Linked DNA regions of Caenorhabditis elegans. The protein of the gene in region 2 interacts with the protein of the main gene of each other region in a biochemical or structural test. Each region holds a gene or a part of one and is shown on either strand. Other genes may lie near its edges.

Evidence for each region. The genes of interacting proteins can lie anywhere in the genome.
Region 1: the proteins of sand-1 (region 2) and rabx-5 form a complex in vitro, tested with the Caenorhabditis elegans proteins (one study listed by BioGRID).

What each region holds. Positions count from the first base shown.
Region 1 is NC_003281.10:10,602,519-10,612,172, reverse strand, and holds the start of rabx-5 (Rab5 GDP/GTP exchange factor), read right to left. Parts: upstream 6,804-9,654; coding exon 6,741-6,803; intron 6,562-6,740; coding exon 6,446-6,561; intron 6,125-6,445; coding exon 6,024-6,124; intron 5,930-6,023; coding exon 5,878-5,929; intron 2,174-5,877; coding exon 1,617-2,173; intron 992-1,616; coding exon 854-991; intron 543-853; coding exon 290-542; intron 1-289. Other genes in the region: Y39A1A.2 (Reverse transcriptase domain-containing protein), read left to right, coding at 8,624-8,674, 8,754-8,864, 8,988-9,103, 9,239-9,467.
Region 2 is NC_003282.8:5,363,735-5,369,976, reverse strand, and holds sand-1 (Vacuolar fusion protein MON1 homolog), read right to left. Parts: upstream 3,111-6,242; 5' UTR 3,110-3,110; coding exon 2,919-3,109; intron 2,861-2,918; coding exon 2,706-2,860; intron 2,390-2,705; coding exon 2,037-2,389; intron 1,987-2,036; coding exon 1,580-1,986; intron 1,529-1,579; coding exon 1,255-1,528; 3' UTR 1,112-1,254; downstream 1-1,111. Other genes in the region: F41H10.3 (RNA-directed RNA polymerase), read right to left, coding at 1-171; F41H10.4 (GRIP domain-containing protein), read right to left, coding at 3,397-3,557, 3,607-3,769, 3,822-3,935, 3,984-4,825, 4,878-5,025, 5,073-5,198, 5,244-5,417; hda-6 (histone deacetylase), read left to right, coding at 5,756-5,791, 5,836-6,123, 6,167-6,242.

The sequences.
Region 1 (9,654 bases), on a different chromosome or scaffold from region 2:
TTGGTTAAACAATTTTTTTAGTTTTCAGAAAAAAAACATGAATGAAAACTGAAAAATTAATGTATATCGGTATATTTTTTTAAAACAAAAATCATTTCTTTTGATTTTTCTAGAACAAGTTCAAAAATTTTTTTCCTAAAAAATTAGATAAAAACTGATCAAATGTAGCAATTTTTTTGAAAATTTTTTTTCTGTATTTTTTTTTCAAGAAAATATGAAAAAAATCGGTGTTTTTTTCCATAAATAAACTAAATTTTTTTCATTAAAAAAAATTTCTAAAATCCCTTACTCATCAGATTTTCCATGCATATTCGTCAAGTTTTTCGCGAGACTTCCCGCCTTTTTTGCAACATTTGTTATAGTCTCAATAGTTCCTTCAAGTACATAAATTGCCTGATTACATGCTGAATTGATAACTGAGAGTGGTGGAGCCAAATGTCCAGATGTGTAGGCTTCGAATTCAGATTTTTCCATTTGAAGACTCTCGTGATTCATGTTTCTGGCAAATTCGAGGGCACAGGAGAGATTCGTGAAGAAATAGGCTGGAAAATGAATTGAAAATTAGAACTTTTTGGTTTTTATAGACGTAAAATAACCCCGAAAGTGTGGATTTTTTATATGAAAATTTTCAAAAATATGTAAAAAAAAAGTTCAGGAGGTTGAAAATATTGAAAAAGGGCCAAATTCGCCTAAAATCTTCAACATGGAATAATTTTTTTAATTAAAAAAAATAATTTTCCGGTCGCCTGGACCAGTGAAAATTGGCCAAATTGAAGATTTTAAATTGCAGAATCTAGTTTTTTCTATAAAAATTTTTTTTCGAGAATTTTGGATGCTTAATTCAAATATTCACCAGCTTCTCCACTCATAAGCCTCGCTGGAATTGCAAATCTTGATATAAATTTGACATTTGATTGAATTAACGGCGGATTTCCACGGAATAAAACGTATATTAGTGTTGGCAGGAATTCGTCAGCCGATGTTGAAGCTTCTGAAAATTTTTGATTTTTGAAACAGGTGATTTTTTTTTGGTCTTTTGGGATTGAATTCATAAATATTTGGCTTTCTTGGAATTTTTTTCGGAAAATTCGTTCAGAAATTTTTTAAAAATCTGTTATTAAACTATTTCGATGAAATTTTACTCTTTTTTTTTCAAATTCCACTAACTTATTGTTAGGAAATACATTTTAAAAACAAAAAACCGGATTTTTGAAGTTTTTCGGCGAATTTTTTGATTGAAATTTTTTTTCCAATTTAATTTCCAATTTTTCCAATTCCAATAAAGTCCAGGAAATTTGTACGAAATTATGTTTGATGCTGAAAAAAAATTTATTTAAATAGAAAAAAACTTAAATTTCGTCAAAATTCCAAATGTTAAAAAAATATATATTTTTCCAAATTTTTTTTTCAAATTTCATGTATTTGAAATAATTTTAATTTGAAAAATTTAAAAAATTGAATAAAAAAGTTGTCTGAAAACTGGAAATTATACACTTTTTAAATAGAAAATAATTTCTTTTTTTTTCAGAAAAATAAACCGATTTTTCTGTTTTTTTTTTGTTGATATTTATCATTAAAATTTTTATAAATCTGTTCCAGATAAAATAAAAACTCACCACTCTCCTTAAGCGCCTCAAAAATCGCCTTACAAGATTTCGTCAAACAATCAAGCTTCTCAAATGCAGATCGTTTTGCATTAATCTCAATAAGTTCCGAAATAGCTTCATCAATTTTATCTCGAACCGTTTGTTTCTTAAAAACCATCTTAGTTTCCAGAAATCCAGCAGTAACCCAGTGAAGTGATCGAATACGGTCTTGCAACGACATATCAGCTACTTCTTCTTCATGATTTGCACAAAAGAATATTGAATAACAAAATGTTGATATATACTTTTCCACTTGGTCCATCACATCTTCCACTTTAACTTTACAATCCGGTGAATCAAATAACGAATGTCCACCGATTCGTTCTCCAAGATATTGATAATAACTCATTACAAGTTCTGACATATCATCTGAGCTCATTCTCATTTCTGAGATCTTATTCACCGCGTTTTTCACTGAACGAGCAATTTCTTGAGCCATTCCTGTTGAGAGATTCGCTACGAGAAAATCGGTGAATTGTTGACGGGCTTCCAGAGAATCCGGGGAGAGTTCTCGACGTCTGGAATGACTTTTATTTGGTTTACTTTGAAATTCAATTTGAAATGTTTGATATAACAAATTTGATAAAACAATTTAAGATTTCGCAGAGGTTAAATTAAAACAACTATTTTTTTTAATATAACAAATTTTTATTTTTGACTGAGTTTTTGATTTTTGAAACATGTGATCTTCTCGGTCGTTTGGTATTGAATTCATAAATATTTAATTTTCTTGATTTTTTTGATTTTTAAATGTAAAAAAAAACGGTTTTTATTATTGAAATACATTTCTGACGTCACAGCCGTATTAAAATACATGTTTGTATGTTATTTAATACAGTTGTGACATAATTTTTCTACACTTTTCAATTTTTGACACTATTTGTATAACCACATTTGTTTTTACTTTTTAAACGATTTCAGAGAAGTTTTCAGAAATTTCAGAATTCCAAGAATTTTAACAATAATCTAGGCTGATTTCAGACTTTAAAGGACATTTTCAGAGGCTTCTAGTAAATATTTCGTTTCAAACAAATTCCCATAATTTCCAAATTTTCTGAACATTTTTTCATGATTCTAAAAAATATTTTTAGAAAACTTCACATAATCCTTTATACTGTTTCAGACTATGCAAACAATTATTTTTGAAAATTTCAGATATTTACATTTATGATTTATATTTTACAGAATATGAATTTATACATTACAAAAAAATAAAATAAGCCGTTGATATTTAATTTCGGTATTTTTTATTTGCTTCGATTATTTGGGATATCTATTTTGGATAGTTAAACACCCGTTTATTGAACTTAGAATTTTTTTTATCATTTGGAAAATATCAGTAGGTTCTATTTATATCAGAGGTGGGCGGATATTTTTTCGGATATTTTCTAATAATGAATTTATCAATAAGTATTGATGTAGTTATTCTGGAAGAAATGTATCCGAACAAAAGAGTAACTATTAAGCAACATTTTAATATGATAAAACCTAGAAAAATTCTACAAGTTTTCTGTATAAACGATATGCAAGTCCATTATCCGATATCCGTAATATCCGTAATATCCGATATCCGATGTTGCTCGGCTAATAAGTTTTAAGGTCTCGGTAAGGAAAACTTGTAGAATTTTTCTAGGGATTATCATATTAAATGTTGCTTAATAGTTACTCTTTGGTTCGGATACATGTCTTCCAGAATAACTACATCGATACTTATTGATAAATTCATTATTAGAAAATATCCGAAAAAATATCCGCCCACCTCTGATTGGTATTTAATGATTTGAGAAATGCTGTAAATTTCTAAAGTCCAAATTTTTTGAAAATTTGCCATTTTCCCCCAGTTTTACTAATTTTTTTACTATTTGAAGCTACTTTAATTTCCCAAATTCCAGAAATAACGAATTCTTTTTTCAAATTGTCAATTTCAATTAATAGAAACTACTCTATTATGCCATGCAAATTTCATCTGAATATGCACTTTTCTTTTGTCCCACGAGTGGTGAGCACAATGACTAACCAAGTAGTTCATGTACTTTTCAGGAACAGAAGCAAAAAGTGTGCTCTCTCCGTGTCTTTCCAAGCTCGGCGAGCTCCTCTCAATTACATTTTCTTTTTTTTCTTCTTTAGGAGAGAAGCTGCTCTCGAAAACAAGGAGAACGTGTCAACGAGAAATGGAAAAAGGAAAAAGAATTCTCAGAATTGTTAGACAAATGAGTCAGTGATTAATTAGTTATTCATTCACAAGAAAGTTGAACTTTTTCTTTCAGACAAACATGTTCTTTGATATAATATTATGTGGCGATATGAATTTTTTATTACTTCCTGGAAACCGAAAAACACTGTTAGAAAATTTTTCCTTTTTTTTTCGATTTTTCTCAAAATAAAACCGAAAACTCGAAAAAAAAAATTGGTGTCAAATTTGCTCAAAAAAGGTGCAATTTTTTTGAATGAGAAATGCCAATTTTGGAGTGGTTTTAGGATTTTTTTTTGGGTTCTGCCAAATACGAAAATTGTTTGTATTTCGGTTTTGATTTAAAAATTCGAAATAAAAAACTTTTTTATCCTAAAGTCCTATAAAAATCGATTTTTTTCCACAAAAAATTGACTCCAAATCTAGTTAAAATAGCTAAAAATTTAATATTAAAAATCATAATAATTAATTTTTTTAGTCAATTCAAAAGTTATGCTTACTATTAGGGTTTTTTATACAATTTTGATCAGAAAGAGGTTCAAAAAAATTGATTACAAAATTGAACTTTATCTTAGAAATGAGATTTCAGGTACATATTAATACGAATTTTTTGAAAAATTGTTCTATACTTAGTGCTCTAGAAACCTCAATTATAGGCTAAAATTCTACTTTTAAAGTCAATTTTCCAGTGAAATTAGATGAAAATTACAGGTAATTTTAGAACAAAAAAACTCTGAAAAGCTTTAGAAAATTCAAAACTTCAGTTTGAAACTTGAATTTTCAGCAATATTCTCTAGGTTTTGAGCTAATTTTTGGTAATTTCCGCACTTTCAGACTGCTCTAAAAGCATTTTCTCTGATTTTTGCATTGAAAATCCCCCTAAAAACCCCATTTTCCAACTGAAAAAAGTCTCAAAAGATCGAAATCTAAGTGCCCTTAGAATGTAGTTCTCTCCTTCTTCTTACGCACCACTTCTCATTTTGTATTCGGTCACGCAGACAGAGAAAGAGGGGAGATTATACATCTAAAATTGCTCGTTTTGAACTCAAATTTTTCAGAAATTAATGTTCTTAGAATATATTTTCTTCTAGAAAATATAGCGTAGTGACTGAAAAAGGAATTGAACAAATTGCATATATATTTTTTCAATTTTGCAAAAAAAAAATCAAGCCATGTTTGAATTCCCAGGCAAACGTTGTTTCGAACTATACAGTTTTCAAAAATTGACCGATAATTTAAAACTGTTTTTCAAAATTGCAAATTTATGAAAAATTCTACTTTTTAAAGCATTTTTTTAAATTTCGAGAATATGTTTTATAAACCTTTCAAAATGAATTTCCAGGGTTTTTCAAACATTTTTCAGTCATTTTCAGACTTTTCCCTCTTTTTTTCCCAAATCAAATCACAAAAAATAACTCTCTATTCCCGTCCGACTAAAGCTCATCGTCTATTCGTATAGAGAAAAAAGTGGCAGAGATGCATAAATATATACACAGCAGCTGTATATAGAATAACAACTCTATCGTAAACAAAAAACAACAACAACCACTAATTCTCAGATTTTTTGCCCACTTTTTGACAGAAATTGGCCTAAATTTTAGAGTCCAAAAACTGGTAAAATTGCGGAAAAAAAGATATTTTAGAAAAAAAAACTTTAATAATCTTGAATCCAAAAACATCTTTTACGTCTAAAATAACCTAAATATGCTCGAAATCGCGGAAAAATTGGTTTTTGTTTTGCAGACAACGGCCTCAAAACTGGAAAAATAGTAGAAAATTGTTGAAAATTTGTCTGAAATCCTCAAAAAAAAATCTGAATTTTTATCTAAAATCACCCGAAAATCGGTTAAAATCACTTTTCCTGAATATTTTGTTTTAAAAAAAACTCGAAATTATTGAAAATTGGCTTTGAAAATTACAAAATCACTCGAAAACCAGTGAAAAGGTCTATAATTTGCTTTAAAATTTGAAAAAATCAACAGAACTTTTTTAAACCACCTAAAATTTTTTTTTATACTATAAAATTTCTTAAAAACCCACCGAGTTGGTGTGCTCGCCGGTGACGTGGAAGTTGGTGAACTGGTTCCGCCTTCTGAAAAATAGCAAATTTTAAAACTTTTTTCAAAAAAAAAATCTGTGGCCGAGTTTTTCTTTTCACGGCCACGTAGCAAAATCCCCACACTTACCTGGAATCGGAGACGTTTTAAACAGATTTTTGATGCCACGTGACTTGCTTTCTGTTGTCGATTTACGCCGCTCTTGGAATTGATCGAAACTTAGAAGAGATCTGGAAAAAAGGGATATTTGAGCGGAAAATTAGGTTTTTTTTTTTCTGAAATTTGAAAATTTTTTTTTCGAATTTTCAGCGATTTTTTCTTGGAATTTCAGGGGTTTTTTATTTTTATTTTAACGATATTTTTCTGAAATTTCCACGAATTTTCTTGGAATTTCAGGTTTTTTCTGAGATTTTAGATTTTTTCCTTATATTTCAAGGTATTTTCGTGGAATTATGAAATTTTTTTTTTAATTTTAGAGTTTTTTTTTTTGGAATTTTTCTTTAAAAAAGTATTCAAAATTCGAATTTAGGCATTTTTTTTCAATTTTTTACCTATTCTTCGCAAAATCCTGACATTTTTTCATCTCATTCTGATGAGCTCTCCAACATTTTGAGCAACGATTCTCCCACTGTGGGGTCCCGTAGAATCCGCATCCATTGACACATAACTGCAAAAAGAAATTGATTTTTATTCAAAAATGAATATAAACGATGCTCCGATATTCCGCCTTTAAAAATTGGGTTACTGTAATTTCAAAAAATCTTGATTTTTTAAATTTTCATTTATTTTTTTTATTTTTTCAGGAAAAATTAATATTGGAAATTTTAAAAATAGGAAAAAACTCACTAAATCATTAGCTTTTAAATGCATTTTTGCTTTCTTGTCCTCCTCGCCATGCTTATCTGACATTACTTTGTGGGGTGTTTGAAACTGAAAAATTTTTAATTTTTTCATGAAGAAAAAAACAATTTTAAAAATGAGAATTAAGGGTCGAAGAAAATATAAAACTACAGTTCAAATTAAAGAAAAAATAATTTTAACACAATTATTTTTCGAAAAATCACACAAAAATTGAAAATTTCGAAAAAAACTGACTTTAGAGATTTTGCGAAAGCTTATTAATTATTTTTTAAAAAATCTGATGTTTCAGATTAAAAAAAAATTAAAATTAGTTGAAAAATTGGATTTTTTTGATTTTCCAATTTTTTTCAATTGTATTTATTTTAAAAGTAAATTAAAAAAAACATTTTTTCCTTAAAATTTATAAATTATCTGAAATTTCTGAAGCTGAATTTCTAATCTAAATTTGAATTGAAGGAAAATGATAATAATAAATTCTAGACTAATAAAACATTACATCTTCGGCAAAAAAAATAAATTAAAGAGGTTTTTGAGCCAATTTATTTTAAATTATCCAACTTTTCAGTCCAATTTTCAGTGAAAATTCAATTTTTAATCAAATCAAGTTTTTGGAAGTAAAAAAAAATAAATTTAAACATAAAATCTAGAATTTCTGTCAATTTTTAATTAAAAATCGACCAAAAACCAAGAAAAATGGACCCAGGAGGGTTCTATTGGTGCTAAAGTTGTCCCCGTCTGGCAGGGAAACTCAAGCCGAAGATGGAGGAGGGCTCTACGCGGTCACAAGTTCGCTTCTCTGCGTCTTCACACTCTCATCCTCGATTACTCAGTCTTCATGGAAGCTCCGCCTCCATCGTGCTTTGAAAGCTGGAAACAGCTGCTCGTTCTGAAAAGATCGAGAGGACATACTCGGAAATCCGATTTTTTCGGAAATTGGTTTTCAGAGCGTGCCACCAGCCATGAACTTTTGAATACATACACAATCTGGGGGAATTGTTAGAACGAATACAATGAAAATTTCCTGGAAAATGGGGATTTCCATGTGGATCAATCAAAATTTTGAAGAAAAAAAGCTAGTTTTCGAAGAAATTTTTTGTTTTTGTGTTTGCCCATCAAATTCAACTTATTTCGGAGTTTCCACCAAATTTTACAGGATTTTTCTTTCAAATTTGCAAAAAAAAGTTACATTTTTTAGCAAAAAACTATTTTTTGTTTAAATTGTTCTGCGCATTTTTTAAATCTTATTTTAGAGATTTTTTCTCGGATTACAAAATTGATTTATTACGGTAACACAAAATTCTGAGAATGCGTATTACACAGAACATCTGCCGCGCAAAATATCTCGAAGCGAAAACTACGGTAGTTCTTTAAATGACTACAGTAGCACTTGTGTCGATTTACGGGCTAGATTTTTGTAATGAATTTATTTATCGATAGAACATTTTTTTAAAAAGCAAAAAAATGAGACTATTATCCGAAGAAATATTCGAAAAGAAATTCATATCAAAAAATCGAAAAAAACTAATTTTTCGATATGAATTTGTTTTCAAATATTTCATCGGATAATAGTCTCATTTTTTTGCTTTTTAAATAAATGTTCTATCGATAAATAAATTCATTACAAAAATCGAGCCCGTAAATCGACACAAGTGCTACTGTAGTCATTTAAAGAACTACCGTAGTTTTCGCTTCGAGATATTTTGCGAGTCAGATGTTCTGTGTAATACGCATTCTCAGAATTTTTTAATACCCGTAAAAATTCCTAAAAATAATTACGTGGGGATTTATCGATTAAAAAAATTCAAAACTTTTGACGTGGTGTTTTTAAGTGAAAAACCGTAAAATTGAATTATTTCAATATTTTCAAAATGAGCAGCGAAGGATCGATTGTTCCTATCAAACTTGCACAACGATTTATTGTAAGAATTTTTTTTTAATTTATTGATTTTTCCGCAATTTTCCAACCAAAAAACTAGTATTTAATCGATTTTCTTTCAGCACGTTATCGATTTTCATGCGGATCCTGTGACTTGTATCAGTGCGTCTTCTGGAACCGTTTCCTACGATTCAGTGACGTCACCAAAATACCCTCAAAATGACGCAATTCTCGTAAGTTTTTTGGGGTTTTTATTAGGACAACGCGCTCTATTGATAACCTGGGAGTGAATCCTGAGTGGAAAATGATATTAATTTAAAGGCGCATGCACTTAGAATACAGTAGACAATTTTCAGTGTGGCCAACAACCGCCTCCCCCTCCTCACAAATCGACAATTAAAACCGTATTCAAGAAGGAGCTCATGGAAATCCCGATTCCAGTGGATATTGAGATGTTTCGTGCGATTCAAAAGTTAGTCAAAGATGGCCGCGGAAGAGAAAACTCGGCCACGGGGAATCAATTTTGAAAAGCGAAAAGCGTTAGGCTTCGTCGCAAGACTTCGAAAACGACAGTAACCCAATTATTTTACAATTCAATATTTCCCAGAGAACAAGATGCAAGAAAATACGCGTGCATCAAAAACTCGAAAAATGTGAATGGTTTTGCGGAAGCCGGAAAAGAAGTTGAATCGGCGTTCAAAGAATGCTTGAAGAATTTCAAGAAGCCTAAGAATGATCCAACGAGAAAAGCGGTGACCAGTGTCTCAATCGAGTTTCCGTCGGGGATCTCTGATCCTGTTCATAAGCCGAAGGATATTCATAAAGTTCATTTTAAAGTATGCCTACGGCCTATTGCCAGAGCATCTCGGAAAATTTCTCGGAACCCGGAAGATATAGGGCGCCGCAAAACACTATCTAACTCATCTATTTATTATTTTAACTTAATTAAAATAATAAACAGGCGAGCGTTACAAAGTGTTTTGAGGCGCCATATATCTTCAGAATCAGGGGAGGTCATTTTAA
Region 2 (6,242 bases):
TTTCAATGATTTGCTGCGTTGTTTCGAGGAGCAAACTTCCCAGAGTGTTGGTGGTGCGTTTGGCGGAAAAAATCGCTTGAATTTTTGCAAGTTTTCTTGAAAACGACGCTGTGGAGCTGTGGATGTCGATGGCACATGGGGATCGACGCGTGAAAACACGCGGTACGACATTTTTGAGCTGAAAATAGTGATATGAGGATTGAAATGACTTGAAGAAAAGATAAAAGCAAAGAAAACTAGAAATTAAGATTATTAATACAAAAAATTTGGCCTAAAAACGATGGGAAATTCGAAAAAATACAAAAAATGATGGGGTCAGGAAGTGCGCTCCATTGGACTAATAGCAGAAAAAATCGATTTTCAGGCGTTTTCAGATAGAAATCCATGCTAATTTGTTTTTTTTCGTGCCCAGAAATCTTTTGTTATGTGTGAAAGGGTGCTTTTAAATTGTTCTAATACCCATCAAAAACATAATATAAAGAGTTATTCGTATAGTGAAAGTGCAAGCGGCGTTTCAGGATTTTTATAGGAATAAGTTTAGCTAATTACAAAAAAAAATTGTTTTTACAATTAAAAAATTGCGACAAATTGAGGAGAAAAAGCTCGAGCTTAAATTTAAAAAAAAACTTTAAACTATTTTAAAGTTGAACCAAATTTTAAAAAAATGGGCAGGCGTTGAAAAATGGAAGTTTTCAAAATACTATGCGTTTCTCTTCATTGAAAACAAATTTCGTTTGAAAATCAAAAAGTTTTCATGCAAAACTAAAATGTCACAGGTTTCTGGTTGCCATAGCCATCAGCTAGAAATTCAAAGAGCGCGTGTTGGTGGACGAGGAAAAAGCGATGGTGAAGGAGAAGGCGGGTAGAATAAACCGACGAAGTGGGGGACACGGCCGAAATGACGGCGAAAGAGTGTGTGAGAAGCGGAGAGTGCAGAGATATAGAGACGAGCGAGACTCCTTCAAACACACTCCGCTTCCCCCAACATCAATTCGAAATGTGTACGTTTTAATCGATACTTTTCCCTATTCTTTCCAATAACTTTGTTTAATAAGTACATTAGATCATAGGACGTCATTTAAGACGTATTACACTTGCTGTAAACAGTAATGAATGAGAGGTTCGCTTTATTAATTTCTACTTGATCTTTTTTGGCAATTTGAAGGGCAGTAAAAATATATTGGCAAATTAAAATCTGTGGTTAGAAAACACGTAAACGTTTTAAGTATCACAATTTTTACAAACAGTTGAAAATTAAAAGGATGTTGAATTAATGATAAAATATCGTTGTTCGTGAGATTTCAGCGATTTCAGAAGCTTTTCGACGACTTGGAATGCGATTGTTGCGGTGACAAATGGTCCGAATATGCAGTAAAGTGAAAAGAGATCAGTGACCCAAACAAAAAGACAATGTTTGGTGCCACGTACGAAAAGAGTTCGAAGATGTGGATGGAGAGATGATAATGATGAAGATCGACGCATTTCTGAACGAGCAATCCATCGTTCGTCACGTGTTATTAGGGGAATTCTGAAATAATAGAGCGCATATAATTAATGGAACATTTAGAGGCTAACTCACTTTGAGGCTGACATACAGACTTGCTTTGAAGAATGATTTAAATACAAAAACGACCAAAGCGATTCGGAATTCGATCCGATTTGTGATATTTGATAAAGATTCGGCGTCTTCATCGCCTGTGCAAAGTTAACAAAGAACTTTTGATTATTTTCCAACTTCGTCACAATTTGTTGTCGAACTTCCTTGAGCCCATCGAAATGATCTCGTTTCACCGAAAGAAGCACAATGCACACAGGAATATCTTGCTCTTTATTGCACCATGGATACGATATGTAGGCGTAGAAAAATCCTGTGTCATTGAACCGTGGCAGACAGATTGGAACCCAATTCTGGGAGTCTGTTTGTAGAGTATTATCAGAGACAAGGTTGATGACAATGTTCAAATCACGAGGATGAATCATATATTTCTGAAACATAAATCAAAAATTAAATTAATCTCTATTTTTTATCATCCCACCTTAAATCTAACCATCGCTGCGATTTGCCTTCTCGCAATCATTATTCCGAAAAGAGCACCATCTAATTTCGCTGCTCCAAGACATGAAGCCATCGTTGTTGATAGAAATTCCCGATCTGATGGATTCATTGGAATTGCCGAAATCGAAGAATCGACAAGATTGATCGGGGAGGCTCTCCACGAAGAAATCGATGAATCAATTAAACGATCGGTTCCACGAAGAAGTTTTCGAAGATCGTAATTGTCACCCTTTTTCTTGTATACATTTTCCAATTGACTTTTGGAAAGAATCGAACAAATCTGCTCAAAAAGGACTTCCAGTTGTTGATCCAGTTGCTCCGGGTATTTTGAGACTGAAATCGTTGAAAGTTCTATCAAAAAAGAGAGAAATCAACGCGAAAACGCGCTAAACAGCGAATTGAAATAGTTCCGCCTCCGAACAATTGGTCTCGTTAGGTTCGGCGGCAAAACTGTAAACCCAAACGTTATGCTCTTCGAAAAATTTACGTTCCAACAGTAACAGAAAGCATAAAAGACGAAAAAATCTTGGCAATTTGCCAAATCGGCGAAACGAACTGAAAACATTTGAATTCTTGATTTAGCCGGTAAATTCCTAACGAGACCCATGCTTCGGGGGCGGAGCGCGTTTCCATTGCATAAAATTCTTACCAACGCAGAAAATAAGCGGTGATTTGTGTAAAAATTGAATGTGATTATCCTGTGACGTCATCGTCATCAAACTATCACCCCAAGATTGGCATCGGCTCACAAATGCACAAATTAGAGCCACCAAACTGACGATTTCACCCTCATTTCGATCGTTGCTGTAATTTTTAAAGAAGGCTTTGTGTGTTTGAATGGATAATATTTGCAAATTCTCACTTTACAAAAATCGGTTTTCCAAATTCGCTCAGAATAAACACCTGAAATGGAAGTTGCTCAAGATGTTCAAATATCACATCAGCATTTTTCAAATTCTCTTCAACATCTTCAATCTCTACTTGTGACACTTTATAACTCGCTTCACTTCCAGTATCGGCAGCTTCTGATCCACCAGGTACTTCTACTTCCATTCTGAAAATTGGCGAGATTTTTCTGAAAATTTCATGTTTTTTCAAGAATTAAGTATTGCTGTGGATTCAAAAAATGAGAACCAGACAGAGAGAAAATAAAAAAATAATATGGGAAACTGAAAATTAAAAAATTATTATGCACAAAGAATATACAAAATGCTTAATTGGAAAATTAGATCAATTGAAATTTCAGCAAAAAATACAGAAAAAAAAATGCAATGGTTTCAGTAACAATATCTACATATGCACACACGGATTCAATAGAAATTTTAAAAAAAGATATAAATCTACAAGCCAGTTCTCTCCATAATAGTTTGCAAGTCTCTCTGAAGAATTATATTTTTAGAAAGTGTCTCTTCAAGCATTCTTTGCAGCTTTTTGTTCATTTCACGGACATCTGAATCTCGGGAATCTTGGCCAAGTGTATTGAGCAGTTTTCGGAATGACGCTGGAATAATTTTCAGTATTTAAAAAAATGAAAATTTTAGAAGCTAAACCTTCAAGTTTCGGTTGAACAGAAGAAGAAGAAGAAGAACCCAGATTATTCTGTTGTTGAAATCCGGTGCCAAGAGGTTTTTCGCGGATCAAATTCTCAATTAATTCTCCTTTTTCCGTCACTTCCCGTCGCAAGCGACTATTTTCTGATTCGAGTTGGAGAATCTGAAAGATGATTATTCCAATATTTCAAAGAATTCTGCAAAGAAGATCCTACGGAATCTGCATTTTCCGAATGAATCTTTTGTAACGTGGCTAGACGAGTGATAAGTTCAACGTTCTCCGATTCGATTGCCGACATTGATGAAACACTTTCGTTTCCGTCGAAAGTCTGAAAAATTTGATGAATATATGTTAGTCCTTGATTAAATGTGCTTACATGACTACTTTGCCTATCATTTTCTGGTGGAACCACATGCCATCCAGCTCTTTCTTCGCTTTTTCTCTCATAAGAATCAGCTCGTTTTCTCTCTTCTTTTAATGATTTTTGTAGCTCTTTCACAAGAGACATTGCTTTTTTCACTGCGAGCTTCTTGTCTTCTTCCGCTGATTTCAGCTTCTCCTCTAAACTCGTCATTTTCAAAAGGAAACATTCTTTATCCGACTCAAAACTCTTTTTAAGATCATCAACTTCCAATTGATAACGAGTTTCGAGAAGAAGTACTCGGTCTTCTAAAAGTTTTTCGTGGTTCTTTGCAGCTTCATTAGTGTTCTGTTGGATTTGAGACGAAAGACGATGATTTTCCGATTTTAAAACTTCGATCTTTTTTTTCAAACCTGATATTTCTTGTTGAGATATTTCAGTCAGCTTTAGTTTTTCTGATTGTAGAGCAGCAAGGTTTTTAGAAACGTCATGATTTAGTTGATTTTCAGAGACGAGTTTAAAATTCTCAGCTTTTAAACTGTCAATTTCAGATTTCTGACTCAACATTGTCTTTCTATATTCCAGATTATCATCAGAAAGCTTTTTATTTTCATCCATCACTGCATTGTTACTCTCCTTCATTTTTTCAGCAATCCCTTCATTTTCTCTGCGTAATTCTTCAATTTCTTTCCTAATTCGCAAATTTTCCTCGACAACCTTCTCCTTAATTTTAAGAATAGCTTCGGATTCTGAAGTTATTGAGAGTAAACGATCTTCAAGCTCGACGTTCAATGTCTGACAGTTTTCAAGTTCTTCACTGAGACTTGTAACTTTGTTGCTTATAGCAGGAATTGTTTCTGTAACCTTTTATACAATTAATTGTATTGAACAAAGTTGGAATAAAATTACCTTGACATAGCAAAACTTTTTCGTCTGTTAAATTTTTAATAGCTTCTTTTAATTGTTCCACTGTTTGCCTTTCTTCTGCTTCTTTTTCCAGAGGATGATCAGAATAAGACGACATTTGATTCTTTAATGTCTCATTTTGTGTGGATATCTGTAATTTGGACATTGAAAAGCTTGAATTTTAAATGTAAAGTTTACTGTCTTGAGCTCTTCAAAAAGGGTAGATTGTTGAAGGCGAAACTCTTGCTCTTGGGTCTCTAGTTTCCGCCGAAGCGACTCAATTTCTGCTTCATCTTTTTTCGAAGAAGATGCTCTGTTGATTAACTGAAAGATTTAAATTAATTATAATAAAAATAAACTTTTCCTCACCTTGCTAGCAAATTGCAATGCTTCATTTTTCGGAGAGTTTTGGTGTTGGGAAGCTGCTGCGTTCTTCTTTTTAATCTCCTCTCGTAACTCGTAATTTTCATTTTTCAGCTGCAAAAGTTGCTCTTGAACAAGAAGGAATTCCTCCTTCGACAAGCCACCCGACTCTGTCGCCATTCTGCAAAAAGTTTGCAACGTAAAATACATAAATTGGGTGTTTAGGAGCAAACGTTTAAAAAACGAACTATAAATCTACACAAGGCGGTTGGAAAAATCAAAGAAAACTTGATATTTCATGTTTTTGTCCAATTACTCTTATTGATGCATAACACAAAAACAAAAAAACATAAACAAAATGCAAAACAGGTCAGAACACACGCGACTTGACGGTAAAGTGCACAGATGGCCGTAGCCTTGAGTTGAATATTCTAGTCCACGGCCATCACGAGGACATTTTTTCCACAGGATTTTTTAGACTTTTAGCGGTTATTCAAACATTTATCGTTTAGTTTTCCATGCTTTTCGAAGATAGGCAGAAAAATCGATCAACGGTAAGAAAAGTATATGTTCGTACAATCATATAATCTATTTACAGGGTCCAACACTCATCGGATTCAATCAAACTCAAAATGAACATGAGAATACAGTATGCCCAACACATCCGGAGTCTTCGGATCGAATTTTGAAGATTAAAGAGGCATTAACAAAGACGAAAATACTCGAAAAATGCACTGTACTAACAAATTTTCTGGAGATCGACGATGCTGACTTGGAAGTAACCCACGATAAAAGCATGGTTAAAGATTTAATGGAATCTGAAAAGAAAACACAAGAAGATATTAATTCACAGTGCGAAAAATATGATTCCGTGTTTATGACAGAGGTATTAATTGGGTAAAAAGAAGCACAAAACGTTGAGAATAAAGTTTCAGAACTCGATGAAAGTTGCCAAAGATGGTGTCGCGTGTGTTCGAGATTTGACGAATAGAATCATGGCTAATG